4 linked regions of the Oryctolagus cuniculus genome follow. The protein of the gene in region 4 purifies or fractionates together with the protein of the main gene of each other region. This does not show direct contact. Links are inferred from orthologs where the notes say so. Each region holds a gene or a part of one and is shown on either strand. Other genes may lie near its edges. The genes, in order: PAK2, GIT2, NCK2 and ARHGEF7.

Evidence for each region.
Region 1: the proteins of ARHGEF7 (region 4) and PAK2 purify together in Homo sapiens (co-immunoprecipitation; 5 studies listed by BioGRID and IntAct, with this or other methods). This does not show direct contact. The link is inferred for Oryctolagus cuniculus from reciprocal best matches to the Homo sapiens genes ARHGEF7 and PAK2.
Region 2: the proteins of ARHGEF7 (region 4) and GIT2 purify together in Homo sapiens (affinity purification with mass spectrometry; 6 studies listed by BioGRID and IntAct, counting the BioPlex papers as one, with this or other methods). This does not show direct contact. The link is inferred for Oryctolagus cuniculus from reciprocal best matches to the Homo sapiens genes ARHGEF7 and GIT2.
Region 3: the proteins of ARHGEF7 (region 4) and NCK2 purify together in Homo sapiens (affinity purification with mass spectrometry; 3 studies listed by BioGRID and IntAct, counting the BioPlex papers as one, with this or other methods). This does not show direct contact. The link is inferred for Oryctolagus cuniculus from reciprocal best matches to the Homo sapiens genes ARHGEF7 and NCK2.

The regions. Positions count from the first base shown.
Region 1 is NC_091435.1:83,346,815-83,353,921, forward strand, and holds the end of PAK2 (serine/threonine-protein kinase PAK 2), read left to right. Parts: intron 1-2,864; coding exon 2,865-3,002; intron 3,003-3,452; coding exon 3,453-3,539; 3' UTR 3,540-6,344; downstream 6,345-7,107. UniProt on the Homo sapiens protein: Serine/threonine protein kinase that plays a role in a variety of different signaling pathways including cytoskeleton regulation, cell motility, cell cycle progression, apoptosis or proliferation.
Region 2 is NC_091452.1:18,836,587-18,844,762, forward strand, and holds part of GIT2 (ARF GTPase-activating protein GIT2), read right to left. Parts: intron 7,401-8,176; coding exon 7,349-7,400; intron 4,329-7,348; coding exon 4,256-4,328; intron 4,015-4,255; coding exon 3,917-4,014; intron 2,970-3,916; coding exon 2,858-2,969; intron 972-2,857; coding exon 829-971; intron 1-828. UniProt on the Homo sapiens protein: GTPase-activating protein for ADP ribosylation factor family members, including ARF1.
Region 3 is NC_091433.1:102,699,805-102,706,660, forward strand, and holds the end of NCK2 (cytoplasmic protein NCK2), read right to left. Parts: intron 3,815-6,856; coding exon 3,620-3,814; 3' UTR 2,753-3,619; downstream 1-2,752. UniProt on the Homo sapiens protein: Adapter protein which associates with tyrosine-phosphorylated growth factor receptors or their cellular substrates. Maintains low levels of EIF2S1 phosphorylation by promoting its dephosphorylation by PP1.
Region 4 is NC_091440.1:2,144,504-2,153,399, forward strand, and holds the start of ARHGEF7 (rho guanine nucleotide exchange factor 7), read right to left. Parts: upstream 5,634-8,896; 5' UTR 1-5,633. UniProt on the Homo sapiens protein: Acts as a RAC1 guanine nucleotide exchange factor (GEF) and can induce membrane ruffling. Functions in cell migration, attachment and cell spreading. Promotes targeting of RAC1 to focal adhesions. May function as a positive regulator of apoptosis.

The sequences.
Region 1 (7,107 bases), on a different chromosome or scaffold from region 4:
GCAGTGTTCCTCGTGTATCCAAGGATCATTGAAGATTTCAGCACAGCTAGATTACATCCTGAAAACAGCAGGTTGTAAGGTAGGTTAGACTGTTAAGTGCCTTATAAGGCCTTTGGAAAGATGATGGCTTTTTCTCTACGTAACTTGGGGAAACTATTGGAAAGTTTTAAGTGGAGGAATAAAATTGTCAAACGTTTTAACAGGATCTCTGCCTACTTTGTTGAGAAGAGATTATCCAAGCAAAGGGAAAAGTATGAAGACCAGTTAAAAGGCTGTTGAGATAATTCAGGCAAGCGGGGCCCGTGCTGTGGAGTAGTGGGCTATACCTCCATCTGCAGCACCAGCATCCTACATGGGCTCTGGTTCGAGTCCCAGCTGCTTCTCTTCTGATCCAGCTCCCTGCTATGGCCTGGGAAAGCAGTGGAAGATGGCCCAAATGCTTGGGGCGCTGCACCAGCGTGGGAGACCTGGAAGAAGCTTTTGGCTCCTGGCTTCAGACTGGCCCAGCTCTAGCCATTGTGGCCATTTGGGGAGTGAACCAGTGGATGGAAGACCTTCTCTCTCTCTCTCTCCCTCTCTCTCTGTAGCTCTACCTCTCAAGTAAATAAAAAAATCTTTGTTTAAAAAAAAACTCAGGCAAGAAATAAGAAATGATGGTAGCTTAGACCACAGTCATATCAGTGGAGGTGGTAAAAAGTGAGTTGAATTCTGGATGTTTTTTGAAAGGAGAGGCTACAGGGGCTGGCGCTGTGACATAGCAGGTAAAGCTGCCGCCTGCAGTCCCAGCATCCCATATGGGCGCTGGTTCAAGTCCCAGCAGCTCCACTTCCAATCCAGCTCTCTGCTATGGCCTGGGAAAGCAGTAGAAAATGGCCCAAGTCCTTGGGCCCCTGCACCCACGTGGGAGACCTGGAAGAAGCTCCTGGATCCTGGTTTCGGATCCGCGCAAGTCCGACCATTGTGGCCAATTGGGGAGTGAACAGTGGATGGAAGAACTCTGTCTCTCTCTGTCTGCCTCTCCTCTCTCTGTGTAACTCTGACTCTCAAATAAATAAATAAATACATTAAAAAAAAAAAAAAAAAAAAAAAAAAACAGAAGATTTCCATAACTGAGATGACCACAATTGCATGCAGTAAGAGTAGGGGATCTGGTTGGTAGGTGGGATATCAGTAGATAACATTTTAACGTGTCTTAGAGTCACTAAATTTTAGGTGCCTCTTAAGTCATCCAAGTGAATATGCTGAATAGATTATTGGGTATGCAAATCTGGAATCCAGGCTAGAATTTCAGGTATAAAATCATGGTGCCTTAGTGATAGTTATTATCCAAAGCTGTGAATCCAGATGAGATCACCAGGTCATGTGAGTAGCTAAAAGTTGATGATGCAGACCAACAAAGCAGACTAAGAAAGAATGGCTGGAGGCCGGCGCCGCTGCTCACTAGGCTAATCCTCCGCCTTGGGGCTCTGGCACACCGGGTTCTAGTCCCGGTCGGGCACCGGATTCTGTCCCGGTTGCCCCCCTTCCAGGCCAGCTCTCTGCTATGGCCAGGGAGTGCAGTGGAGGATGGCCCAAGTGCTTGGGCCCTGCACCCCATGGGAGACCAGGATAAGTACCTGGCTCCTGCCATCGGATCAACACGGTGCGCCAGCCGCGGCGGCCATTGGAGGGTGAACCAACGGCAAAGGAAGACCTTTCTGTCTCTCTCTCTCACTGTCCACTCTGCCTGTCAAAGAAAGAAAGAAGGAATGGCTGGAAAGGGAGGAAAAGCCAAATAAATATATGCCCTGGAACCTGTATAAAGAAAGTAAGCTTGTCAGAAACTGCAGTTACGGCCATTGAGATGAGGACTCAGGAGGGTATTGGATGCAGCAATGAAGATACTGCTTGGTACCCACATCTCTTATCAGAGTGCTTGGGCTGAGTCCCTGCTTTGCTTGTGGATCTAGCTTCCATCTAATATGCACCCTGGGAGGCAGCAGATGACGGTTCAAGTAGTTGGGTTCCTGCCACCTACCTGGGAAACCTGGATTAAGTTCCAGACTCTGTTAAACTTCGGGCTGGTGCTATGACATAAGTTAAAGTTCTTCTTGTGTCTGTATATAGTATATATAGTGGCCTTGGTAGCTACACAAACCAGGTGTTCAAAGAATGACTGCCTGGTGAGAAAGGATATCTATAGGGATGTAGAAATAATCAGGCTTCAATTCCAATTTCTACAAACCTAAAACTTCTTAAATAACAGTTAATCAAAAAGTAATAATTTCATTTCTAGAAATTTATAGGAAATAAAGAAGTACATAAAGAATACAAGAATTTTCTAAAGGCTATTGATTATAATAGAGAACATAAGATACTGTTTGATTTAACCATTAAAATAATTTTGCGGGGCCAGTGCTGTGGTGTAGTGGGTGGAGCCGCCACCTGCAGTGCTGGCATCCCATATGGGTACTGGTTCGAGTCCTGGCTGCTCCACTTCTGATCCTGCTCCCTGCTTACACACCTGGGAAGGCAGCAGAAGATGGCCCGAATACTTGGAAGAAGCTTCTGGCTCTTGGCTTCAGACTGGCTCAGTTCCTGCCGCTGCAGCCATTTGGGGAGTGAACAAACAATTGGAAGCTCTTGCTCACTCTCTCTATGTCTCCTGTCTCTGTAATTCTGACTTTCAAATAAGTAAATAAATCTTTTTAAAAAGTACATAAAATGAAAAAGGAAAAATTTCAGAACCAAATGAGTAAAAATGATAACCTCACTTTGATGTTGATGTTTGTTTTTAAAGAATTAAGAGATCCACAAACTTTGTAAAGTGATCTGTCAGTTTGTTGCACTATCATAAGTGTGTAAAAATGTTCTTCCATTTTTAGGCCTTGTACCTGATAGCAACTAATGGAACCCCAGAACTTCAGAATCCAGAGAAGCTTTCCCCCATATTTCGGGATTTCTTAAATCGATGTTTGGAAATGGATGTGGAGAAGAGAGGTTCAGCCAAAGAACTGCTGCAGGTAATTTGGAAATGATGTCATTTTTGGAAAATTTAGTTGCCTTTGTGTTTTGAGTAATCTAGAGAAGGTTTTCATAGGGTGGCAAATCATTGTATTTCACTATGTATTGATCACCTTGGTGTGGTAACTGCATTTTAGGGCTCCTTCTGGGAATAAAAATCTGTAACATCATAATGAGTTTTTGCATACTGTCAGTTTTCAGGCCTGTTCACTGCTGGCCTGGATATGTCTGTGGCCTTAACTATAGATTTATATTAGGAAAAGTAAAGTGGTTGCTTTCAGCTTTAGGTGTTGTACTGATTATGTTGGTTTCATATGGATATTGACTTGTGGGGATACTTTAACAAATAAACCATGATTCATAAGTAGTCTTTGGGGATTAGTTGAAAGGAAACATTTTGTTTCTAAGCTGATAGCATTTACCTGTTTGTTTCTCCCCTTTTCTGGCAGCATCCCTTCCTGAAACTGGCCAAACCATTATCCAGCTTGACACCACTCATCATGGCAGCTAAAGAAGCAATGAAGAGTAACCGCTAACATCAGTGCCGTGGCCTCATGTTCCTTTGTCCATTTCCTAAAAGAAGTCTTTTAATATATGAAAGTTACTGCTCTTTTCGGGGTTTAAAGAAATGGTCTGAATAATGGAGGAAAAACAAAGCTACTATTTCTTGAAGACAACTAAGACAAAATTGCAAAAAGAGAATCATGACTTTCAGATGAACCCCTTCTTTAGGGTCCAAAGGAATTGTGGACTGAGTCACTCGCCTTACATCTTTCAGCAGACAGCCGTCAGGGCTGTTCCTTATGCTTGAGATTTGCATTTTATTTTGCTAACTTTGTTGGAATAGATCCCATTCTTGTCCCCTTTGGGGTGTTTTCAATACTTGAAGGGCAGATTCGAGTTTTTCAGCATATTTGTTTCACCTGCTGGTCTTCTCTCTCCTTCAGAGCTCTCCTTTTCCTCGACTTGCTCCTTTTGAGTTGCTTTGAGAACTTTTTGTCGTGCCTGAATTCAAGGCAAGTATGATAGAAATTGTGCAGCTCCTCATTGGCAAAGGAGCTCAGCATAGTTTAACTTTGTATAGAAGTTAGGACCAGCAATGGTTTCATGGAATATTTCAGTTCAGAACTTGAACTGAAAGAAGGGAAGAAAAGTATGTGATTTTTACCTTTTTAACAAATGTGAAAGGGTCACTTTGAGAAATCTCATGGTGGTGAGTTTGGAGTTTGTTACATGTATAGAAAGAAGACTAATCTATATTTATAACTAAATCACTGAGACAAAAAAGAATCCCGGCGACTGTACACCCTGACGGTTTTGTCTTCCTTTCTGCCTTTCTCCTCTTCAGATTTGGCTTGAGGAGGAACCAAAGTGATTTTTCTTGTTCCAGCTTGGGCTTTATGACTGGTTAGTGCCATTACCTTTCCTTTCCTCCTTTCCTCTTTCATTTTGGAAATAAGTTTCTGTATATGTTGCAATTTTAGGTTTAGTTTTTTTGTTTTTGTTTTTATGTAACCCTCTCACCTTACATATCCTGTTCATACCACATCCTACTCTGTAATAATCATTGAATTTTCAGAATTTGAAAATTAACTTTTGTTTTCCACTTAAAGGGAAAAATATTTGGGGTTAGCAGAGACAAAGTGAGAGATTGAACTTTAGTGAGTTGTAGAATAATTAGTTGAGACTGTATTCATGAGAGAGAAATGTCAGTATTACAGAGTTCCAAATGATGACGAGTAAACTGTAAAGGCTGTCATAAGTTAGAGTGATTCTAACACATTACCAGTGTGTTACTGTGTAAGAGAACTTAAATGAGAAGGTTCTTGGTGGATTCACGGATCATTGGAGATGTGGAATTACTTTAGTATTTTTTTTTTTTTTCAGAGAAGTAGAGAATATTCATGTAAAAATCTGAGGAAAAGAAAAATGCGGTATTGATAGGAATCCTTTTTTATTTTAAAGATTAAGAAAAGGTCTGTGACCTGTTAATTATGAGAATGCCCCTTCCTCCCCTTCCCTTCTGTGCTTTACTCTCCTGTTCTTCTCTCCTCATTTCTCGGTTGTTTGGCTTTTGGGTGAGGAATGGTCTACTCTGACATGCCTTGAACCACATAAAAAAGTCTTCGGTTGAGTTCTGGTATTTTGTTCCCACCATGCCCTCCCAGTGAAATTCACACCTGCTTGCCATCCTGCAATAGTACAAATCATTAATGAAAATAAGTATGCTGTTTTGTAGTATATTGGAAAACCAGCAGAGTTTTATTTCCTGTTATTCCCGTCGTATCTGTGTTAAGACACAGATATCAGTGTAGAATGACTATTTTGTGTTGATACCACAGAAAGATTTTCAGAAAAATGAGTAAAATAATTAATGAAACTTTTATATAGAGCACTTAATGATCTCTGATACCAGTATGGTTCTTGATTGCATTTTTCTCTGGACTATATTGGCCTTCTACAGCTCTTACTAAATTATAGAAACAAGCTGGTTTATTTCTGGTGGAAAGCTACAGTGCCCCTTAACTTCCAGATTTGAGCACTCTTTGTAGACGATTGGATGGATGGATCATGATGAAGATGCTGCCAATGAGAGAGAGAGAAAACACCGACTAGATGATGAGACTGATCATCATGACCACTTAAGAAGGCGCTTCCCATCCTAAGTCATAAGGACTTTTTCCCTCGAATCTGTGCCAGGGCCCCAGTTTATGCTTGTGGTGCAACAAAGGGCCTTTCAGACGGTGGAAGCAGTTTGGGATTTGTATTTACAGCCTCTCGGATGGTTACCTGCACGTCCATTGCTGGCAACGGACTTTGAAATCTGACTCCTTGGTTAAGGGAGCTACACTGTGGTGTATTCTTTACTTACCTGGATAAACTAACCTGTAATAGAAGTATACTTTAGTAAATTCTGAAATGTGTCATTTTTAAACAAAATAATCCTGAAAGCAATATGAAATTGTGATTTATTAGTTATTTTAAATTAAAATGTTCAGATCTTCTTGAAAGAACTACTGTATCTGAATCAAGATTCTTGTTTTTTAATAATTGCTTTTTATATTCATCTTTTTTTGTCACCACTTCAGGGTGAAAATTCCCATTTAAATCTGAAAATTACGTTAGTCATCTTGTATTACTAGGGCAATATTACTGTAATACTTATTTATGATATTTTAACCTCTCTGGTGGTCTTTAAGTTATCTTCTACTCTTGTTCCTTGTGCTGCTTTAAGGGACAGCTAAAAACTGGGAAACCATGACAATATTGGAACATTTTATGCTACCTACAGTAGTAAACAAGTAGAGTGATTATGTAACATGACCTCAAGGCTGACACAACTCTGTCTTCATGTGTTGGGCACCTGGCACATAGTCTGACTTCCCTTCAACATGAATATTAAACTGCTTAAAAAATGTATCTAGGAACCACCAGTCCTAAACAAACCTGTGCCTTTAACAAGCCATTTAAACTACCTGTAAGTATTTCTTTGTATGACTCCCTTAAATACATGTGTGTTTGTATATATTATATAATTTTAGATGTTATCAGGCAGTAGCTACAGTAAGAAAAAAACAAGTGCTTAAAGAATTTGCATCAATTTTTTAAATCTAAAATGCTTTAAATATACTGAGATCCATATCCAGTGAAATGTCAAAATAATATTATAGGTTATAGCTAAAATCCAGATTAATATTCATTTTGTTTTTTATGATAGAATTTCATAGTAATATAAAAAGCAGATGGTCTTCCACTGCTCCCGCGATAGATATTTAAACATTTAATATCAGTTTTTGCACAGTGTGTATATGTGTATATGAATTAAATAAAACACACATTTTTTTCCTCTCAGCACATTTGTTGAACACTCTGGCAGAGATGCTATGGTAGGTGTTGGCATTACCAAGAGAAGAATCGCAGTGGTCTGGCCTTGAAAGAGCTGAAGAGTCTTCCTTTTTCATCAATCTAGAATATTGCTAAGATAAGAGGCAGGAAGAAATGTAGGATAATTCTGTCCAACAAAGCAAGTTTTCATTCTGTACTGAGAAAACCAATTATATTTTGAGTTCAACATCTTTTTGTTTTAATGTGTTTACTTTTTTG
Region 2 (8,176 bases), on a different chromosome or scaffold from region 4:
TGGGGCTCCAGCCCCCTTCCCTGGCTCACTCTGATGCCATGGTCTCTGTCTCACCTGGGCCCTCCTCACCTAGGGCCTGAGGTGGCTTACACCAATTTATCGGGACTTCTTGGGGAGTGTCTTCCCTGGGTTCCCTCCTTTTACTTTCTGACCTTTGCCCTCTTGCCCTGTCTGAAGCCTTCTGGGCTATGGACTGCGTGTGAGGCCAGGCTCCTGTCACATGCCTGCTGACGTACCCGAGTCCCAGCTCTCCAGGCTGTCCCTCTGCAGGGCAAGCTGTCTCTCCAGGTGCCCTGGCTTCGCCCTTTCTCTGCCCCACCCACCCTGCTCTGCCTCCTCCAGAGGCCCTAAGCCCCTGGGTCCTGAGGGCGTGTCTTAGAGCCAGCCCGGCCAGCACTGGCTCCCCCTCCTCTCTCGCCCTCTGCCCCTCTGTGAGTCATACCATGCATATCACTTTGTATCTTTTGCCTCACCCATCTCTCCTGTAGACAGGGACATGCTTAGGGGTCAGGGACTAGGCCTCCCTCAGTGGAGTTATTATCCAGAGAAGTCACTTAATCAACATTTGTTGAGTGACTAAAACACACCGGTCATTCCTCACAGGCCTTACAAAGTCACCAAGGTGGCAGGGCTGTGATTTCAGCAGCTGGTCAGGGACGAAGGACCCCTATTTGCAAACCATTTAGCTTGCTTCACCTCTGCTTGGCCCAAGCTACAGTGAACCCAACTTGAGTCCCACAGCCTTGGTGACTGACACACAGGGCCGTTTTGCAGAAGGAAGGTTTCTACAAGAAGCAGAGCCCCTCTGCGCGAGGCGTGCCCGCTCACCTTCTGCCGGTTTGCTCTGCTTGCCGCTGTGTCCACATCCGTGTCTTCGTCTGAAGCCACACTGTCATAGTCTGGCTGGTCATTGTCCTGACTCTCGGTGCTGTGCTGGTTACTGATGGTTTTCAGTATGAGCTCCACATTGTCTACCAACAGAAGCAAAGAACTTTACTTCAGGCTTAAAACATTGCTTTCCTTCCAAAACAAACTACTGAGAGGATAAAAATGGAGAGTTAGCCACTTAAAGGACAGAAAGAAAAACGACAAGAATAGCAGCATCACAGCCACACCCGACCGAGCGGGAGACAGAGAAGTCATCCCGCAGACGGACAGCTGTGCAGAGCAACTGAAGCAGCCCTTCACCCGCCTGCCAAATGTGAGCAAACCAAGGAGCTGGCTCAGCGAAGAGAGGCTCGGACTAGCGGGAAAGGTCCCTAAGTTGCTACTGATAGAGTGTGGCTTCAGACTTGAAGGTGAAGTTGTCACAAGTCAAAACAGAAAGCGAACTGTTGAGGTTTAGAGACAGGAACCCTGGCCTCAGTCACCTGAATCCCAGTGAGACAGAAGGGAGGAAAATGAATCCAGTGCATGCACACTTGCATTTTATTCAGAATATCCTCCATGGTGGGCAGGACTCATCATTCTGCAGGCCCTAACACACTATTTTAAAAATTATTTATTTGAAAGGCAGACAGAAAGAGACAGCAAGAGAGAGATCAAGATCTCTCATTCAATGGTTCACTCCCCAGATGCCTGTAACAGGCACAGGGAAAGAAACAGAGAACAGGAGATCATCCATCTACTGGTTCCCTTCCTAAATGGCTGCAACAGCTGGGGCTGGGCCAGACCAGGCTGGGAGCCAGGAGCTCCATCCTGCTTTCCCACGTAGGTGGCAGGGGCGCAAGTTATTTGGGCCGTCTCCCACTGCTTTCCCAAGGCACACCAGCAGGGAGCTGGTTTAGAAGCAGAGAAGCCAGGACTCGAACCGGTGCTGTGTTATGGGACGCTGGACATTGCCTACATAAGATTCTACCAACCACCCACATCTCTCCAATTCCTGTCAGGCAACTGAAGGAAACCTCTGATTTCTAATAGTACTTACCTGATAGCTCAGTGAATCGTATCTTTGTGATGAACTACAGTTACTTAAAAGGACTAGGTCTTATTTTAATTTTTAAATTAACATTTAAAAACAAATACATATAATCTGATGATAGAGTACTAAGATTCGATATAGGAAATACAGAGCGATCACTCACAGTCACTGCTGTGTGTTGAAGTCTTTTTTCTAAGTATATTTATACACACTCAGTCAATCTCTTATTCTTGGCAGTCCTGCTCTAAAAAATGGCTGCAAAGTCTGAATTAGCAATGTGTACCCTCCGAGGGAAAATACAGGGCTAGCTTCCCGAGAGCCTCTGGTCATGACCCTTCCTTAACCAATCAATACTCAACTGTGAGACGTGTGTGCTTCTGCTTAAAGACCCTTATCTAATACATACCACTGACTCGGCACCGAGCTCACAACTGCAACAGACAGCACACCTAAATGACGCTACTGGACACGCGGTTTTCTTTGAGGCACTCAGAGCCTTCTCAGTCTTTGGAACACCAGCAGTATTTCAGCACTATGCTTGGGGCTATTTTTGAACCAAAATCACCAGCAAAAAACACAAAAACACGAACACGGCACTAAGCCAACAAATGAAAGGGCCCCTCGCAGCCAGTGTGAGGCCCCAGCAAATTTTAATCGATGTAAGTGACTTTAGGAAGCAACAGCAGGTAAGATGCCATTCTAATCAAGAATTTTTTCTATGTTCTTTAACAAGAGCCAGTCCAACTCCCGGGTTAATTTCAGGATATAATTTATAAGAAAGGCCAAGTCACTTAATATACTTCCAACCAAACTTACAGGACTGCACGAAGCTGCCATGTGAAGGACTGCGTTCAGTAACGTGCAACTTTAAAACTGACACTTGGATTGAGTTTAGAAGGACAAAAGCACAAAACCCTTAGAGGTCTGAGCAGTTACCTTTGGCACTAGAGAGAGGACTGCCTTGCTGCCTCCTCTTGGCGTCGCTGAGAATGTCGATGACCAGCGTGGCAAACTCGTGTGCATTAAACCGAGCTAATTTCTGTCTGCCCTAAGGATGAGAAAATAATTGCCCATGTTCCCCAGTGTAAGTACACATAATCTGACCACAAAGCTGGTCAGATTATCGACAACTCCTGCAAAGCCCTTCCTGCCCAACAAAGCTGTGATCCATCACAGCCATGACTGACTCAAATATTAACAGTTCAAAAAAAATAATCCTTTATATGGGAGAAGTTCCTAACATTTAAATTCTCAAAATGTGAGAATGTATTGTATTCTTGTGACCAAACATAAAATGATTAATTCTTTTATTTTTTTGAAGTACATCTAGTAGTAAAAAATTAATGTGGAGTAAGATCTTTCAATTTCAGAATAAGGTGAACGGTTTGGACGCAGGGACTCTGTCCTCACCTGTGGCCTATAATCACAACCTCCAGCACCTTCCTCAGTGACTCAGCGTTGCTCCTTGAGAAGCACGCCGGGGCTGTTGCTAACACTTCATTAGCACACACGGCGCTCGGAAAGCCAGCCTGCAGACCTGCTGCTATCAGGACATTCCCAAAGGGATGCACTGGATTTTGAGGATTCTGAAACTAATTTTAAAAAAATTGCTTCTCTGAAGTCTACAGCAACATAAAATCTGTAGCATGAGATAGCTCATCCTGCCATGTTCGTTCAAGCCTGGAGTATCCTCTATATTTTATTATTTTGACTGAGGAAACTTTGGCAAACACCTTTATGTTGCCTTCTTTGATTACTGCTAAGAGTGAATGTTCTTGCGTATTTGTAAGCCATTCACACTTCATCTCTGAGTTATTACATATTCTTTTCCAGTCATCTACTTACATCTATTGCTTTGGTTATCATTTTGTGAGTTGTCTGTCTATAAAAAGTACGAAATTTTAGTCAATCAAAAAATTTAAATAACTTGTCCTGGGAAACAGCCATCCCCCCACCAATACAACTACTAATTACTTTTTAAACTGAACCACTTGCCTGGTTTCGTGTTGACGAGTACTCGGGATTGACCGGAAGAAAGGGGACGACGGTTGTCTCGGTTACCAAGGTGCTGTGGTTTTGTGTGGCAAGCCAGACTAGCCAGAGGAAAAAGCCAGAGACAGAATCTCATCACACCTGCTCCTCTGGGAGGCACGGCTCACGCGTTACTAGGGAGACTTGGGAAAGCACACTCTGAGGCCAACACACTCAAAAGTCAATGTCGACACACACGATATCAGGACGGTAGGAATCGGGCAAGTACAACACTGAGGCTGGCAGCTTGTCACTGCCCACTGATAACAGAAGCTTAGCAGATAAAGCCACATGTCAAGTCACCTGCATCAGTCTCTCGCCTGTCAACTTCATCGTACACATCCATGGCAAGTTCTTCAAACAAATGATTACTTAGCTGAAAGTAAAAAATATCAGGAACACAAGGGACAACGATTAACACCAGGAGGACGAGAGGGGACTGGGACTTAATTCACCCTGTTATCACCCGAAGCCAGTGCTTAGCAAATACCCAGTGTTAGACAGACAGTAAGTTTCAAAATCATACGGTGGTCTACAAGCATCTGCCCACCGCAGCAGCCTCGCTGCTCGGTGACAGACAGACAGGGATGCTGTAAGGAGCCCAGAGTATCCCCAAAGTGCTTAATCTCAAAAAGCAGGTTCCAAGTCTTCACTCCTCCCGAGCTATCGCCCTGTGATCTCTTCTGCTCCTCACAGCATTTGCCAGTTTGTCAAAATCCTAAGTTCTTGGCAGGTTAAGGCAGTGAAAACATGCCATCTTGAGAGAACACAATGTGCCAACACACAAAAATGCACACAGACCGTGCTCACGTTCCTTCGCCACCTGCCATGGTGGGGGCCCTCCCCGCCCCTGCACTGAGCTGCCCTCCTCGTCAGTGGGCTGTGTGGTGCCAGCACCCTCATTGGCAGCAGCCGGGGATGGGCCACACAACAACAGGCCTTTCCCACCAAGACAAGGTTAAGTTCGCCAGAGCGGCTCCAGGTCTCTGTGCCTCATGACTCACCCCGAAACTTAGCACTCGGGGACCCCCTATTCTTAGAGGACAGATGTTGAATGTGTTAAATTCCCTACTGTGTTCCTGACCCCACAAGCAGTATTGGGCTCGGGAAACATCTCCCAGACTGACTGCAAGTGTGCTATGTGACGATTTATGATGCTGGCTACCAAGACTCCAGAGGAACATGGCAAAATAGGCACAATACGTTGTTAGGAGAAAAAAGCAGGATATAAAATTCTGTAATGATTGAGTTCCATTTGAAAAAAAATTGCATGCATTTGAAATAAAAACTGAAAGAAATATACCAAAATACTGAGCCTGAATCCAAGGTAGTGTGTTGTCACATGACATTTATAAATAAAAATGAACACTGAGAACCCAGAGCTGGGTTAGACGAGGGACTGGGAACTTGAACTTGCTCACAACCAGCTTCTTCCTCTAGGTGACGCCACACGAACATCCCTGTTACAGCCCCAGCAGGCGACGCCGATGGGAGGCTCGCATCCCGGGAGCTGTGCAAACAGCGTCGCATGTGGTGCTTCCGACACTCCCACAAACACAGCAGCCACTGCCGTTCTGTTTTACAGAAAAGGTGCTGAGGCTTGCAAGTTACCAGCTTGCCTAAAGCTACAGTAAATACATGAGGGACCAGAGATCCAGGTTGAATCTCATAAAACGCTAGTATTTTCTCATTCAAGAAATATAAATGTACTCATCTTTGTTATATTTCTCTCAGCTTTTCAATAGGGAAGAACAGGAGGGAGAGGAGGAAAGGAAGAAGGTACTGGAGGACGCACACCGACCAGGCTCTCCAGACATGGAGGCCCCAGAGCAGGGGCCCACAGGGAACAGCTGCTTGCCCTTCCCGTCACAGCTCTGCTGTATCGTCAGCTCCCTTTGCTAAGAGACAACAGCAAGCCCAGGAAGGCTGAGGAGCCTGGCAGGCATGAGACGTACCTGACCTGCCTGACCCAGAGCCCGAGTTTCGGAGAGTTGTCCTTAACTCTGCTCCAGATGTTTACTGAACGCCCACCACATGCTACCGAGATTACAGACATAACCACAGCTTTCACGCCGTTTCCAGCCTAGCACATGCAGCACGGTCAGAGGGAAACTGGGCTCTCTCTAGGCTTCAGCTCCTTGTAACAAAAGCTCGCTTACATGTTATAAGTAAAAGGAAACCATACAATATTCTGTGCTGACACCGAAGGTGTCTTAATACATGACCTCCTTAATTTAAGAAAGGCAACAAAACACAGACACACAAAACTGTAGATATAGAACACAGAGACACCAAATTGCATAAAACACATTTATTTCATGATACAGTTAAACGCTAGCAAGGATAAACTCATTTACGTGACCTTTAGTACTTATTACCCTATGAAGTGCTGGTAGAGGGCCTTCTGCGAGGAGGGGAAGGAGTCGTCCTAAATCGAGAGCCTCGGGAAAGCTACCGCCTACACCGTCGGGGGCAGATTTTTGCTCCTTGAATGGTGAAGGGTGGAAGCTGGGCAAAGCAAACACTGCAGGCAAAAAGGGCTCGTGGAAGAGGCCTTGAGCGTGGCAGCTCCTGGCCTCAGAGAGTGTCGCCCACAAAGAAACACGGAGACATGCATGCATGAAGGGAAGCAGCGCAAGCTGAGGTGGGAAGTGGCACTGGCGCCCCCAGATATGAAGGGTTACAGATCTCGGCTCTGACCCAGACAGCAGGCAGCTGAGGAGCACAGTGTGGCCAGGAAGCACCCTGGGGTGCACAAAGTGCTGCTGTTCCCAGAGGAGTTTGCCAGGGTCCTAACTAAGGCAGAGGAGGGCAGGCTGGAGAGAAACACACAGTCCACAGGGAGGCTGCAACCTGCTGAGCTGGGCCAACTCTGATTAAACACACGGGCCAGGGCTACTGGCTTCTCCAAGTGTCCATCTGGAAAGTTCTGATGAATGGCATGGGGAAGGGCAAGTCAGTTCCAACCACGGCTGGTGCCCAGCGGCACGAGCGCGTCTATGGCTCTCATCGCCACGCCTGGACCAGCTTTCCTCACTCCCTAGCGCTCTAGGAGGCTCTAGGAAGTCATCCCAAGGAGGTGCGCCCCACTTGCTCATTTACACTGACAGAAAACAAGGCTTTCAAGAGGAGAAACAACGCCAAAGACACAGTCTTCACCCGTGACACTGACAGAAAAATGGGGTCTCCGGAAGCAGAGCCAAAGAACTCGAGAGTCTAAACTCAACAGTGCTTGCCGTCTTCACTGGCTCGTAACAATGGCCTGCTTCTCACTTGACAACATCTGACAGCACGAGACAACGTCATCTGACACAACAGGTAACTGGGACTGAGACCGGGACCCAGCAGGACACGCTGATGCCTGCACTGGTCCCACTAGTAAACAGGGATACTCACGGACTGAAGTTTCTTCTTAGCAGCTTTTGCCAGTTCAGACAAATCCAGGCTGCTAAGAAAATGTACAACACTAATAAGCAAATCAATAACACACGTTTGTAGATACCCGAGGGATAAAAACACGAATTTCAGTCCACAGACACTGCTGGAACTGAGCACTCGGTGGCCCCCTTTGGTGAAAGTGACCCCTCCTAGCAACACCACAGGCATGTGAAAACGGTGACGAGGAAAAAACACCATCCACCACCTACACAGTAAAAGCTATTGCCAGGTTAAACTCCAGGTTTTCATGTGAGAAGCCACAATGTTTGAAGTATTTAAAAAAAAAAAAAGCACAATAACAGAAGAAAATATGAAAAGGAAGACGTGAGCCACGGGAACGGGAAGACCGCATCTGCACCCGCAGCTGTCATTTCCTACGCCCTGACAGCATCTGTGCAAACCTAACTGGCCACACGAAGGGGGCCCCGATCACGTAGACCAGGGGTCAGCAAATGATGGCCTTTTTTGGTTGGCTCATGAGCTAAAATCGATGTTTACATTTTTAAATGGCTGGGAGGAAAAAAAAAAAAAAAAAGGAAGAGTAGCAGAAGATGTGAAAATTGTATGAAATTCAAATTTTAGTGTCAAGAAATAAAATTTTATTGCAACAGCCTGTTCGTCCACAGCGTGCCCTCAGATGCTTTCCTCTACAATGAGACAAGCATTTGTGAAACGGGCGGCATGGCTCACCAGATCGAAGATGTTTTCTACTTAGCCCTTAGCAAGACATCTGCCGACCCCCATGACCCCCATTGTGGCAGACCAAGAGTATCAATCCCCCCCCCT
Region 3 (6,856 bases), on a different chromosome or scaffold from region 4:
GGATCAGAAGCGGAGCACCAAGGCCTCCAACTGGTGCTCCTATGGAATGCTGGCATCACAGGCAGTGGCTTGACCTGCCGCACCACAATGTTAGTCCCTGAAATAATACTTTCCAACTTGTCTATTCTTTGCATTTTCAACCTCGGTCTTAACAGTATTTTGGCATTCTGGCATTAGGCAGTAGGAATGACAGAAAGGTAGATTAGCACACAGAAACTAAAGACAAAATGGTATCAGCACCAAAAACATTTTGTTTGTAAATGTCAGTTGTTATGAGGAATTCTAATTTAGATGCAAATTTGTGGGGCACTTGGAGGAAAAAATGGACAGATAGAGCTCTCTGGAAATATTACTTAATGCATCTGGTCGTAAAACCTGGTAGTTGTGACTGTAACTCAGCAGGGTCCCTGTATGGAATGACATTTATGTCAACTGAAGGTGTGTTTAAATGCAAACAAGGGAACCAAGTTACCCAGATACCCAACGACTCACCTTCATTGCTCTTCGTCTTCCCTTCAATGTCTGCCTAAGACTCGCTCAGGCCATCTGTGGATGTGCAGGAGGGTCACTGGCATCCGTGCCACCTGCCTGGGGCATTGGGGAAGCTGCTAGCCAGAGGCTCATCTCATCAATCCGCCCTCCACCTGACAGCACCATGTCCCAGGGTGCCAGTTCCTTAAATAAAACACACACACACACCAGTCCTGGTCTACCCATAGGCGCCAGTTCCTTAAATCACACACACACACACACACCAGTCCTGGTCTACCCATAGCGCCAGTTCCTTAAATCACACACACACACACACACACACACACACACACACACCAGTCCTGGTCTACCCGTGGGTGCCAGTTCCTTAAATCACACACACACACACACACACACACACACACACGCACCAGTCCTGGTCTACCCATAGGCGCCAGTTCCTTAAATCTCACATACACACACACACATACACACACCAGTCCTGGTCTACCCATAGGTGCCAGTTCCTTAAATCATACACACACACACACATACACACACACACACACCAGTCCTGGTCTACCCGTGGGCAGCAGGAGGATTTGGCAAGGCACTGAATCTAATGAGCCCAGGCCTAAAAGAAGTTCCTGAAACCAAAATGTTCATCTGTCTTCAGTCCTTTAAAAAATCATTTGATTCCTCCCAGAAGCGCTGTGTCGAAATCCAGTCTCTCAGCAGTGCGGGTACTCGTGGTGTAGCGGGATCCTTGCGGGTCTAAATGCAGCACCCAGCAGTGAGAACTGACAGAGTCCACAGGCATGCTATCTCTTGGATGAAACACCCAACAGATGTCTCCACCTCACTCACCTGCAACGCTGTCCGGTTTTTCAAATGAAGAGAAGGGAGCATCCATTCTGAGAGCCGCCATCACTTTTACTCTGAGGATACCAACAACTCTACACGCCAGCAGGCACGCAGGCAAGGTTATACATCAAGTTTATGATTGGGAAAAGGAGTCGGTCTGGTGGGGCATGTTGGAGAACAGGATGGTGGTGTAAATCTTCAAACACAGGCCCATTCAAATGCTCTGGCAAGGGGCTGGCACTGTGGCATAGCTGGTAAAGCCACTGCCCACAGTGCCGTATCCCATATGGGCACCAGCTCGAGTCCCGGCTGCTCTGCTTCCGATCCAGCTCTCTGCTATGGCCTGGGAAAGCAGAAGATGGCCCAAGTACTTGGGTCCCTGCACCCACTTGGGAGACCTGGAAGAAGCTCCTGGCTCCTGGCTTCAGATCAGCTAAGATCTGGCGGTTGCTGTCATTTGGGGAGTGAACCAGTGGATGGAAGACCTCTCTCTCTGGCTCTACTTCTCTCTGTAACTCTTTTTCAAATAAATAAATCTTAAAAAAAAAATGCTCTGGCAAATTTATAAATTCCCAGGTACCAATTAGTGCCCATTAGCCCCCTGCTGCTCCCACGGCCACATTCCTTTTGGGGGCAGGTGTGCCCATCCTCCGGCCTGCATTGACGGAAAACAGACTGCAGCCGCATCTCTAATCCCAGGGCAGTTTGCTGCTCTGAGAGACACGTAGGCAGCGTCCTCTTACAGTTCACTACGACTGGGGCAGTGGGCTGCCAGCCTCATTCTCCATCAGCTTCTAATGGACCACAGTGAAAGGCGACCAAAGAATCAATGAACTCAATGCCAACAGGAATGGCAGAGTCAGGACGTACCACCCGGCTCTGAAATTCCTTCCAAAACTCTGGGTTTGCATCCCCTTGTGCATGACGTCATGCCTAACCGTCTTGGTCCCTACAATGGGGATCACGGTGGTGGTAAGCACGGGGTGGGGAGGACGCGCCATGTGCATCAGTCCTGGTCCACTAAGAGGGCACTGATCCGCGTGCCGTGAGTTGCACTCCCACGGCCTGGCATGCGGCCGCCATCCACTAAACACGGACAGATGGAGAGAGCCAGAGCGCAACATCCGAGGAGGGCCACCGGGAATGCAAAGACTCTGGCTGGCGACCGTCGAGAAAACATTCTGAAGCCAGCAATTCTCAAAGAGCGAAGTTAAGAGCAAGCTTGTTGGAGTTTCCCTCGTTAGCAGGGGTTATTTCAATATTCAAAAACGCGGTGGCAAGAAAGTCACAGGGAGTGCACTCCTGACCCTGCCCTTGAGCCTGGTTCTTCCTTTCAAGCTGGGAGAAGTCACCCAACACAGCGGTCACCCCTCCCCCACAGCAGTTAGCGTCTCCCCAAAGACAAACGCACACAGGATCGTGTCATAATACTTTTTTTTTTATTACAATATTCAAAAAAACTGGGTATGCAAGTTTAGGGGATCGCAAGACCCCTTCTTCCATCATAGGAATGTGCCATCTCAAGACTGTATATTTAAACTATAAAGAAGTTCAAATGTAAAGAAAAAAAGGGAACACGATTTCTTCATAAACATCTTGTGTCTCTGACTACCAATCACATTTTCTTTTGTAAACCCTGAAAAATTTCCCTGTAAAGCAAATAAAATATTTAAGTATATACACACACATACACAGACATGCACACGCATGTGTACAGCGTGCATGTGTGTGCGTGGGTGTGTGTATGCTTGTGTGTGGAGTGTTGGTAGCTCCGCTTCCCCCACAGATCAGCTGTTTTCCTGAATCATCCCGCATTAGTGTCAACAACCAGCTACAGATACGTAGGACTTGGAGAACTGAATACATCACCGTGAAGTTCAAAGGAGCTGCAGGCAAGAGCAAACAGCGCTACGTGGATGGCACACTTCAGGGGTCAACGACCAAAACGCGTGTCTTATCTTGAGTCACCGGGTCCCTCCGTTGCAGAATGCCTCTCGAGGAAAATTCTTTATTGCAAGCACGGCCCCAAGGCACTGGACAGCTCCCTCGTGGCCTGCGCAGCCTGGGGGCCCTGGCTGCGTGCACGGTGGCCCTCCAGCCGTGCCCAGGGTCTCCACGTGAGCAGAGGGTTGCCGCCACTAGTTGGAGAGAAATAAAGTGAAGACACTCGGCCCTTCCGCCTCCTTCTAAGACCAGCCAGGAGGGATGGTCGCACCCGGCGGTGGCGCCCGGAGCTGGTGGGCGCAGCGCGGCGCGGCCCCGACCCGAGGGCCCACGGCACAGGTCACTGCAGCGCCCGGACGAGGTAGAGCTTCTCCCCGTGCTCGCTGGTGAAGATGGGGGCCTTTTTGTAGTGTTCCACCAGCTCGTCCATGGTGTGGAATCGCCGCTGCCCAATGCAGTACACATTGTCCACGAGCTGCACCTTGAAGTGTTTGTTCTTCCCTGACGCTTTGAGAGACACGGAGAAGTCGCTGGGCTGCGGGAGCAAACGGCACAGATTACACCAGGGCCCGAGAGGGCGCGGGCTGCACGCTCTGGGGTACTCCACCCCTCTCCCCACGGGCCACACCCCCGGGCCACAGGGTTCCCAGAGGCGCAGGTGTCTACCACGGCACCTGCCGCTCCGCCCGACGACCCCTGCTCAAGGACTTCATTTGGCTGAGTATTCAGTGCTGAACACACCTCCTTCTTTGACACGTGGGACCCGAATGCTAGGAAACACTTTTCACTTCCCGAGCTGTTTTTGAGAAACTGGAATCTAAGACAAGTGGTTTCCATGCAGGCAGAGGCTAGAAATTTCCCTTCTTCTGACTTCTAATACTATTAGAAATTAAACCTTTTTTTTTTTTTTTAAAGTCTAAGCCATTTAAAAATAAACGCCTAGGGCAGGTGTCTGGCCTAGTGGCTAAGATGCTGGTAAGATGCTTGGCGTGTACAAAGGGAGGAGGGCCTTGCCTCATTTTCAGCAGTGAAGGGAAGGGGGAGGGGTCCTGGCCTCCCTGGGTGACCTCAGCCCCTCGGAGCTCCCCCCGCAGCTGCGTCACCTGGCCCCTGCCTATTGTCCCAATCAATGAGCCTAAAGCATAACCTCCCCCACACAGTGCCCATTCTAGTCCTGGCCATGTTGTTCTTGGGGCCATCTGTCTTCTGCGTGGTTATCATACCCTTAAGCTCAAAGTACAGATGCTCCCCCCCAAGACCAGTCCCACACAAGGTCAGTTGTCTCCTCCGTGGCTTGCTATGTGGCACCAAGTCTACGCCACAACCTAGGGCAGCCAAACCCAGGTCCGCAACCCACTTTCTGCTCTCGTAATTCCTAGGGACAAGCTCTGCTCCTACCCTCCCTCCACCTCCCTCGCAGCCAGACTCTGGCCACAAGTTTCCAAAAGCCCTCAAATAACATTCTTCTGAGGAGAAGGGAGCAGAGCCTGGACACAAGGATTAACAGAGCCCACGTGGGCGCCTACTCAGGAGCATGGGTGTCCGAGAAGATCCACACTGCACAGGGCAGCTGGGTGCACACACTAGCCACAGCTGTTAATATGGGTGTCCGAGAAGATCCACACTGCACAGGGCAGCTGGGTGCACACACCAGCCACAGCTGTTAGCACAGCAGGCAGACAGGGACAATGGAGTTTACAGTTAGCCTGTGCGCTGTCCCTCTGCCCAGGACCAACAAAGCAAGAATAAGCCTTGGAGGGAAAAGCCCCTCTTTATCTCCATGCTACCCGAATGCCTTGGGGGAGCCCCCAGGAAATGCTGGTGAATGAGACTCCAGGAAGAGCCCCGAAGGTCCATCCCCAAAGAGGATGCAGGCCAGCTACTATTTTCACAGCCCCTAGAGGGTCAGACCTGGATGGCACACTCAGGCCAAGCTGCTCCACCAACATGCACATCCACACGGCACCAGGCGGCCTCCTCCTGAGTCACCGTGTGGCCTGCGCACCCTCGAAGTGCGACTGTGCTCACAGGGCTGAACAAGACGACGCAAGCTCGCCCCGCTGTCTCCGTCCAGGTGGGCGGCTGTGTGTGGTTCTGAAGGCCCAACAAGCGGAACCAGGCACTGCCCGACAGGTCTGGTGCACACGGGCAAGCTCCAGACGTCAGCAGTATTGGAGGACCGCGACACTCACTCAGCCCTGGCCCCCTGCACAGCACGCACGGGACCCACGGCCGCCAATCAGAGGGCACTTTAAAAAATGCATGGAAAACGGCGTTTTACATTGGCGCAGAGTTCCTGAAATCCACATACTGTTTTCTCATTACACTCATGTTCTGTGAACTCTTTGCAGACTCCAGTACAGGCATGGATTTAAACATTTTTTGCACTGGAGCTGCTGTGAAGGCTTGAGGCACCCAATTTTCATCAAGCCGAGTGATCAACAGATGACCTTGGAATAGGTGAATTTGCTTTCCCCTGCAGCTCCTTAATTGAACATCATGGGGTGTGTGTGTGTGTGTGTGTGTGTGTGTGTTACAGGAGTAACACTGATGCAGCACAAAAGGTACTTTCTAATTTCATGGGCTACCAGGCAGAAACAGCTTGTGCCAAGCAGGAGGGCTGACGGTTTGGGGCTGTTCTTAATTCCAATCAGGCAGATCTTCCACAAGAAACCGAAATCGAACAACCCACGTCCTAAGCAGACACACCGCCACACGTTTCAAGCTGAGCACGCCTTATCCAAAATGCTTGTGATCAGAAGCTTGTTTTGGGGTTCGGATTCGGAAATATTTGCACTCCCATAATGAGATATCTCAGGGAGGGGACGCGCATCTACACACAAAACTCACCTGTGCTTCACATACACTTTGCACTCATAGCCTGCGATATTTTAGACAAGTTTGTGCCCGAATCAAAGTTTCATGGTGTGGGATTTTCCATGTGTGACAGAGTTTCAGATTCTGGAGTATTCTGGACTTCGGGTTACAGATGTCTGATCTATACCGCGAGACACCATAGGAAGCCTGAAAACACATGAGACCCCAGGCTCTCCAAGTGTGTTCCCAACTCGGCACCACCGGTGTCGCCTGGAAACGTGTGACAAGAGCAGACTCTCGGGCCCTGCCCCGGACCTGCTGATGCAGACACTGGCTGGGGCATTTGTGATGTCACCCCCCAGCCAGCGTGTTTCCGTGAGCCTCTGGGGGATGCTGGTGCCGTCAGGAAACTGAAATAAAACGGAAACCAGACACTAACGGTGTGGGAACCCTCAGAAAGAGATGCAGCTTCAGCCCCTGCCCAAGTCTGACTACCGCAGGCCTTCGGGGAATGGGCCAGTGGATGGGAGATTCTTTCTCAGAAAAAGAAAGGAAGAAAGGAGAGAGAGAGAGAGCAAGAGAGGGAAGAAAAGAGAAAAGGAAGTAAGGAGAAACAAAGAAAGAAGAAAAGAAGGAGAAAAAGAAAGGGAGGGAGGGAGGAGGGAGGGAGGGGGGAGGGGAAAGAAAAGAGTACATGATTTGGGGGCAAAGCAGCCTGTGCTAGACAGGCCCCAGTCTGTGGATTCTTTCTGGTTTCCTC
Region 4 (8,896 bases):
GCCATGCTGTTTCCTCGTTCTGCCTCTGTGAACACCTGTCCTCTCCTCGGCCTATCTAGTGCCTTGTTCTTCACGTCTGGACCTTCTGTTGATGACCTGCTGTGTCATGGCCCCCGAGCGTAGTGCTGAAGTGCTGTCTAGAGGCCCCAAACAAGGAAGTTGTGATGTGCCTCACAGGAAACACGTGTGTTAGATCAGTGCTGTTGGCCTGGAGTTCCACTGAACGAGTCAGCCATAGATACATCCAGAAAGAGGAGCAGATCCATCAACCTGTACGGGAGGCCGCTCCAGACGGTGCTGCGGTCCCATCTGCAGTGCGTGATGAAGCTACGGAGAAGGTGGGAAAACGACGGAATTCGTGGCTTTATGAGACGCTGACAGTTAAAGCACAGTAGACAGCGCTGTGGTGAGGCTGAAAGCCAGAGATGTGCAGTCCCACTGCTCAGGTCAAGAACACGCGAAGCCCCTCTCGGCTAGTCGGGGCTGGCACGCGTGTCAGATGTGGCACAGCATGAGCAATTCTGAGCTTGCAGACAAGGATGGTGCTGCAGACCAAGAGGCCGCAGAATCTTAAAAGTACCTGCTGGTGTTACACATGAAGAGGGCTGTGTTGGAGAGCAGGTTTTCAATGCTGCTGAGACCAGCTTGTTTTACAAAAATGTTGGCAAACAAACCTATGTAATGCAAATGGCTCCAAGACCAAGCCCAGCGCCAATGCCAAGGGTGACTAAGGGTAAACCCCCCCTGGCGTACACAGCCCAAACCCCCCCAGCCCTTACAGGGAAAGACGAACCGTGTGCCAGTCCCCTGGAGGTGGAACACGGAAGCATGGGTGGGGTCCGAAGTACTCTGGGGTCGGTTCCACAGCTGCTTCATCCAGAAGCTGAACGCTATCGGGGGCAGAAATCTTGCCTTCGGGGTTTTATTAATTTTGGATAGCGCCCCGGTTCACTACTTCTCTCCACGCCTCCCTACACTGCATCTCTCATCCACCCTCAATCAGGGCGTAACCAAAGCTTTCAAGGCACACGACATGGCTGTACAGTACGGCTTGTGAGGGCTTGAGGCCGACGCGGGGGCCACCACGGGGGACTCCTGGAGGTCAGCCAGCGTCCACAGTGCTGCTGGTTATGTTGGCACGGCCTGGGACAGAACCAAGCAGGCCTCTGTCAGTGACTGCTGGGAGAGTGTGGCCAGAACGCGGGCAGTGTCGAGGCCTTGAAGGTGTTACAGAGGTTATGAAGAACAGCATCGAATCCATAGTGTGTACCGCACAGCGCATACGTGGAGACGGCGCCAGTGACTTGAAGGAAGAAGATGTGGGGGCCGTCTTGGCAGAAAGGGCAGTAGAACCCACCAAGAAAGACCTGGGCCAGACGGCAGAACGGACTGGAGTCGGCAATGAAAGTCAGGACCGTGACGACGGTCAGCCCAAGGCTCCAAGAATTGTCCCTCTCACAGGGGCCAAAACATCAGAGTGGAATTCTGCCTTGGGAAGAACCCTCAGTGATGTGGAAGGACGTGACCCCTGCTTAAACGCAGCCCCACAGGCAAGCGCTGGCCTCCGCTGCATTGTCCCTCACTCAGATCTGGCGAAGAGCCAGCCGGACGAGGCGGAGGCCGCTTTCCTAGCAGACCTGAGAGGGAGTGGGGCTGGCACCACCAGCGAGCTGCCGAAGCCGAACTCTTGAGATACAACCGCCAGAGCCCGGCGTGCGTCCTTCACTGCAGGTCCCTGTGCGGTCGGCCCCTCCAGCCCGCTTTGTTCTGGTCGGGAGGCCGCACACGTCCCGCTGGCCGTGCACACAACCCCAGTTCCAGCGCTGCGAGAGCTCACAGCAGCGTTTGTGAGACTGAGTGCAGTCTTTGCCGATTGCTTTCAAGGCTGCCTTTGCACTTCCTCACTGCACCCCGTCCGTGTTGACAGGGCTGTGTGTGTTCATGAGAGTTCCGCATACGTGTGCTGCGTGCGGGAGCTACACGAGTGCCGACACGGCAGAGTGCGTTCATGACGGCGGGATGGAAACAGTGTTTAATGAAGAAGTACTGCACACAAGGATCTGTAACATGTATGTGTGCATATAATGAACTGTATTTAAGCAAAAATAGGCATGAAACATGGTCATGGATTGACTGCTTGATGAAATACTGTGACCGAAGTCTGTCAGGAGACAGACCATCTGTCCTGTGAAACAAGGTTTGCGGTAACTGCAGACCACAACACCACAAGCAATGGAGCTCGACTGCACATTTGAGATCAAGCCCCGGGAATCTAGGTCTTAGGGCTTCGCTCCTGGATTGCAGCAGTTACACAAACTACGGGGAAATACGTTACAGTTTTGATAAGTAATTATTAAATACAAATGGCCAAAACTTTATTTGGAAATATCTATTTTAATAAAAAATATTAGTATCAAAATTAATTTATGTAACTTTAAATATATTAATTTTAAATATATTTAATTAAAATTGATATTAAAATTAAAAATGTATTTACTGGCGAGGCCGAGACAGAGACAAAGCTCCCATTTGCGGGTTTACTCCCCAGATGACCACAACAGCCCAACCAAGGCCAGGAACTCCCTCTGGGTCTCCCCCATGGGTGGCAGGGGTCCAGGCACTTGGGCCGTCAAGTGCAGCCTCCGTGGTCTGCGTGAACAGGAGGTTGGAGGCAGGAGCTGGAGCCCGGGATCCAACCCAGCTATTCTGATACAGGACGTTGGCCTTTTAATGCACACTGTAACCATCAGGCCAAGGGCTTTTCTAATCACTCCGTCACCCTGAATGACTGACACTTCCTGCTAGAATGAGATAGGCTCCGGCATCAACTGTATTTCTTTCTTTCTTTTTTTTTTTTTTTTTTTTTTTGACAGGCAGAGTTAGAGAGACAGAGAGAAAGGTCTTCCTTCCGTTGGTTCATCCCCAAATGGCTGCTATGGCCGGTGCGCTGCGCCCATCCGAAACCAAGAGCCAGGTGCTTCCTCCTGGTCTCCCATGCAGGTGCAGGGCCCAAGCACTTGGGCCATCCTCCACTGCACTCCTGGGCCACAGCAGAGAGCTGGACTGGAAGAGGGGCAACCGGGACAGAATCTGGCACCCTGACGGGGACTAGAACCAGGTGGGGCCAGCACCGCAGGCGGAGGATTAGCCTAGTGAGCCGCGGTGCTGGCCTACTGTATTTCTACCTTGGGGTTTACTTTATGCAAACACTGTTGATAAAATTTAGTACATGGAAAGGGAGTTTGTCATGGTACAACCTAATTCTTGGAGGCCTTCTACACTTTCTCGTAAAGAAACGGATTTAAGTCATCAATTAACAACGTGATTCGGTCTCCTGGAAGAGCTAAGCAGTGGAAACCCCTGAGGTGCACAGCCCAGGTCAGTAAGGCGGCTGGTTTCTCAACATCGTGGGTACCTGTAATTCTTCACGTGGTGCACGGCCTAGAGGTCCCGCCTTGCAGCTGAGCACCTCATGAAGACAGCAAATGGGTGCAAGGCCAGCTTTCTATGTCAAGTGGGAAGTGGGCAGGTGGACAGCCAAGCCAGCCCATGTCTTCCTGGACACAGGCATCTAGGCTGGGCAGTTTTCAGGAACTGCATTTGCAAGTTGTGAGTCCTGAACACCATCCTGTGACGGCGTGTCCCTTGAAGTGTCCCCGCACAGAGCCACGTGCAGCCGGCTGCTTCGGGGGCGCACTCGTTTGATACCTGTAATGTCCGAGAGTCTTTATGATGAGCAGCACCCAGCTGTGTCACACGTGTCACCTGACAAGTCATCGACCTCCCTGGGTCTGTGCCCTTATCTCCAATTTAAGGCTAACACCCAGCCTCTCTCACGGGCATTGGGAGGAGCAAGTGGGTAATTAATTTAACAATTTTATTGGGCCTGGACTCCGTAGCAGGTCATGTTCTGAGACAAGGTCACTGCCTTCCAGGAGGCGGACAAGACTTGCCTGCTACATAGCAAGTGCGCCCCCCCCCAGATGGACACGTGGGACCATGGAAATACAGTGGAGCGACATGTACACGCTACAGACACAGGGCAGGGCCAGAGGCTTGGCCAGTGCAAAAGGTGACGTCTGAGTTGGGCCTGGAGAGGGAAGAGGCAGGAAGACCTGCACAATCAGAGGTGTGCCACTGTCAAATCCAAGGTGTTTTCAAGGACGGAGATGATTGATCACGGATGAAACAGCAGTGGGGAAAATGCACTTGGGCAATTCAAAGTCCATGTTCACACCTCGCCGGAGAAGCTGCACCGTGAGCTCAGGAAGACGCGTTCCACATTAATGCTCAGGGAACTGCAGATTCAAGCCGCAGGTAACAATGCGCACACAGCAGAGTGGGTCACAGGGAGAGGGGCAGTGTCGAGCGTGGCAGGGCGACATGCCAGGGACAAGGAGGGCACCACGCTCACCGTCACCAGAGTACTCACAACCCAGCAAGGGCTCCCCCGCTCCAGGCTCCAGAGGAGGTCAAAGAACTCGGGCCTCAAAGGACGAGCAAGTCCCCCCAGTTCACGTCCCAGAAACCTGTCCCAGATTTCCATCAAGAACTGTCGTCAGGCAGAGGCCCTGAACGTCCCCAAACTACTCGGATTCTTCTGTGAACTAAGGCAGAAGACCGTTCCAGCTTAATCACAAAGCAACGTTAAGACAGACTTTAGCTGCCTCCCTTCCTCCTCCTCAACGCACCACGGCCTCCGGACCAGGAGCCACCAACGTGGCCGCAGTCTAAGCAAAGTGCCATTCCTCGGCCAGGGTTCGAAAGTGCGTGCAAGGTGTTAGCGTTAGTGCAAGAGGGGGAATAGGCGTTACAAGCCAGGGAAGCACACAGACACGGTGTTGCCTTAGAAATTAGAATTAAGACCAGAAAATGGACAAAGCTCACCACATCTTACCTCCTCATGGAGCCTCGTCCCCAGAAATTCTTCACTACAGAGACAGCCCCCAACCCCTGGTTCACTCCCCACATGCCCACAACGGCCAGGGAGCAGGGGGCCAAAGCCAGGAGCTGGGCTCTTCATCGAGGGCTCCCATGCCGGTGGCAAGAACGTAGCTACTTGCACCATAACTGCTGCCCTCCGTGATCTGCGTTAGCAGGAAGCGGCATCAGTAGCCAGAGCTGGGGGAGAATCCAGGTCCAGCAACGTGAGACGCAGGCATCCTAGCATCTTACCATGAGTGCCAGCCCCAGGGCCCCCAGAGATGTGGCTGGGTGTGTTGGAAGTGCGGCCCAGGCATCGTGTGTGTGTGTGTGTGTGTGTGTGTCTGTGTCTGAAATCCCTCATCTGACACTGAATTTCATGCAGGTTTGGGAACCAAACATCACAGTCTCCTGCTTCTGTCGGACTAAGGTGGAAACCACGGCACTGGCTTTCTCGAAAGTTCCTGGGAGGCTCTGATGGTACCGGGACCATCCTTAGAGAACTAGCAGGACATGCAGGCTGAACTCTGAGCGAGCAATGTCGCCTCCCCCTGGGCTGCCAGCAACAGCCCGTTCCTCTGAACCCTGTGGCTCTGCCTGCACGCCCACCGCGGGCACACCTCACCTGTCCACTGGACACAGGCTCCCTACCTGCAACCACAGGTGCCTCACTGGACACAGGAGGTCAGCAAGTGTGCACCAAACGGCCCGAACCACTGGGCTCCCTGATCTCACCTACCACAGGGTGAGTGAAAGAACCTTAGTGTTCTTGCAGAAAACAATTGAGGTAAGTCTGCTCCATTACAGGTGGGGAAGTCGGGAGAGCAGAGACGTGGAACAGCCCCGGACCAGCCGGCTGACCTCGGGACCGCACGGGCCAGGCTCCCCCGGCCCTGACCTCGGGACCGCACGGGCCAGGCTCCCCCCCCCCGCCCTGGTTTCCAGGGGGTCCGGCCAACAGGAGGCCAGGCATGCAGGAGAAGGAGCCCACGGCGGCTGCAGGGGTGCCGTGCGTGTCTTGCCCCAGCCCTGCACCGGGCTTTATCATGTTGGTAGTCTGAATTCAGCCATGGTGGAAACATCTACAGGCAAATCAGCAAACTACCACAGAGCGCTGGTGGTGCCGGGTCCACGGAAGCCGCCACTGTTCCTCCAGCCCAGGAGGAGCCACGGCGGCTCCAGCTGCTCCCACGTCCTGCAGAGGGCGTCCTTCCCCCACGCTGCCCCGCTCTGGCTTTCTCAGCCATGCTTTCCTCAAGCCCCCTCCACCACCGCTGTTTGGGGAGCCGTGTGCTTTCCACTGGAACCCTCACCCCGAGAGCCGGCAGCTCAACACAGAGCACGGCAAAGGCGAGTGATGGGAACAAGAGACGAGACCGATGAATCCCAGCACCACAGAGCAAACCACCGGCACACCGCCGCCGCCGAGACACGGCTTCCTACCATCTCCGGGGAGGGCGCGGCGGGGGACAGCACAGATAATGCCGACCCTGCTTCTCTAGAAGAAAATTAAGTTTCGGGAACATTTGGAAATGCAGGCAGTATCTCTCCAAGTCCGTGCTGCGTCCAGGGAGGCCAGACAGGGCCTGGAGTGCAGGGCAGGAAGGGAGGCCGCAAGGGAACCGTTAGGCGCCTGCACCATGCAGTGTTAGAGACGCACATGGGAAAAAGCCAGCGGTCACAGGACAGCCTCCGGGAGCAGTGGACCTCCCCGTGACCATCTCCGAGGTCCAGCCACACGCACGCTGGGGTGCTCGGAGGACTGGGATCCAGCGCGGCCTCCCGGATGCAGGAAGCTGGAATAAGGAGCCAGACCCGGGACGCAAACCCACCCAGCGTGGGACGCGGGTGTCCAGCAGCATTGCACCTCTGCGCCGAGGGCCCCGCGCCCTCGCCTGATTTTCAGTTGCGTGGAAACCACTGGTTTATTCTATTCACACGGCAGCCGTCTCTTGTTCACTCTGCTATACTCTCTGCTCACTCTGGTAAGTGATGCTAACTGGGGCAGAAACACGAGGGAGCAGGGCTCACCTACACTGAGGACGGATCAATCAGAACCTCCAGACTGACCCACTGGACGACAAATGCCGCAAGCAGAAATGCCAAGGTTTGGTTGCTAATGCACACGGTAACAGGTGGCCAAGTACCCAAGTAATCTGTTGAAAAAACAATTTAAATAAAGGATGTTTCGCTTTTGCTTTCCTCCAACGTACCCCAGAGCACTCCCTCGTGGGATGCTGCGGTCACCAGGGAGAGACCCCGAGTTACCCGCGAGTATGACGCTGGACATATTTAAAGAGTAAAAACAAGCACAGATGTCCCAAACCTCTAGTTCCCAGGCTAAATCCAGAAACACCAGGGGAGTGCCAGCGAGACTGCGGTTCTCAAATTAACTCATGCGTCCCCTGAGGCTCGGTTCCCACAAACCCCAGAAGCACGTCATGTCCCTCGGAGCTGGTGGCAAGCGTCCCAAACTCATGCCAATGCCAAAAATGGCTGTATTAGAAATGTTTACAGATAAAACATTCACCCGATGTATCTGAAAATAAACTTCTGGCCGGCACCGCGGCTCACTAGGCTAATCCTCTGCCTTGTGGCGCCAGCACACCAGGTTCTAGTCCCGGTCGGGGCGCCAGATTCTGTCCCGGTTGCCCCTCTTCCAGGCCAGCTCTCTGCTGTGGCCCGGGAAGGCAGTGGAGGATGGCCCAAGTGCTTGGGCCCTGCACCCTATGGGAGGCCAGGAGAAGTACCTGGCTCCTGCCATCGGATCAGCGCGGTGCGCCTGCCGCAGCACACCGGCCACAGCAGCCATTGGAGGGTGAACCAACGGCAAAGGAAACCTTTCTCTCTGTCTCTCTCTCTCACTGTCCACTCTGCCTGTAAAAAAAGAAAAAAGAAAGAAAGAAAGAAAATAAACTTCTCCCCGGGTCACATTTGTTCTCCCAGTGACATCAGATGAGAATGTCGGCAAGGTGTCTGGCAGTTGTCAAGGGAGAACCTTCTGGAAAACAGAGGTGCTGGCCACCGCTCAGGGTCGGTCTGCGGCGACAGGGACACCAGGAAGCAGGTGTGGCCAGGAGGAGCCACTGCTGGCCTCCTGACCGTTCCTCACTGAATGCCACTTCTCGTGGCTTGGTACAAATTCGTGACAACCCACACTGAGTCTTGTGGTCCAGGATTTTCCTCAAAAACGTGCACCTGCCACACGCAACGATCCTGTCCCCTGAGCTCATCCGCACGCCTGTGTCGTGAGTGGTGGCGTGGCATCTCTAGCCCGAGCCACAGCCCTCGTGGCTCTCAGCTCCCACTCCTGTGCTGATCCAAACTGCCGGCCCCACCTCCTCCCTGGGCAAAGCAGCACACACGGCACGCGGCGGCGACATCGCTGCCTGTTGCCCACCGCTGAGAGGCTGTTGGAGAGGACCCGTGGTTTCCAGAGGGAAAGTGCTGATGGAGCCAAAGCGGACAGTCACGGGGCTCCCTGGCGGTCATGGGCAGGCCAGGGCGCTCAGAGCCCTGCCCCCTGTGGCCACATGCAGCCTGCTGGCTACTGGGACAGCCCTCAGATCTGCCTGTGCCTTACCAAGAAGCACCTCTCCCTGCAGTCCCTGGCGGCACACGGGAAGCCCAGAGGGCTCTGGTGACCGTCCCATCTCCTCGCACTTCACCTCAGCAACTCCGAGGGATGCCCCTCCTGCCACTCAAGTCACGCCTGGTGCTCTCTGGCCAAGAAGCCGCACTGATGGCAAGTGACAGCCTCGGAGCCACACTAGAGAAGCTGGACATGACCACCTAGGGGAAAATTCTATCTTTATTATGATTATTATTATTATCTGACAGGCAGAGTTAGAGGAGAGAGGGAGAGATCTTCCAGCCACTTGGGGTTCACCCCCCAAATGGCAGCAACAAACAGGGCTGGGCCAGGCCAAAGCCAGGAGCCTGGGGCCAGGAGCTTCCTCTGGGTCTCCCATGT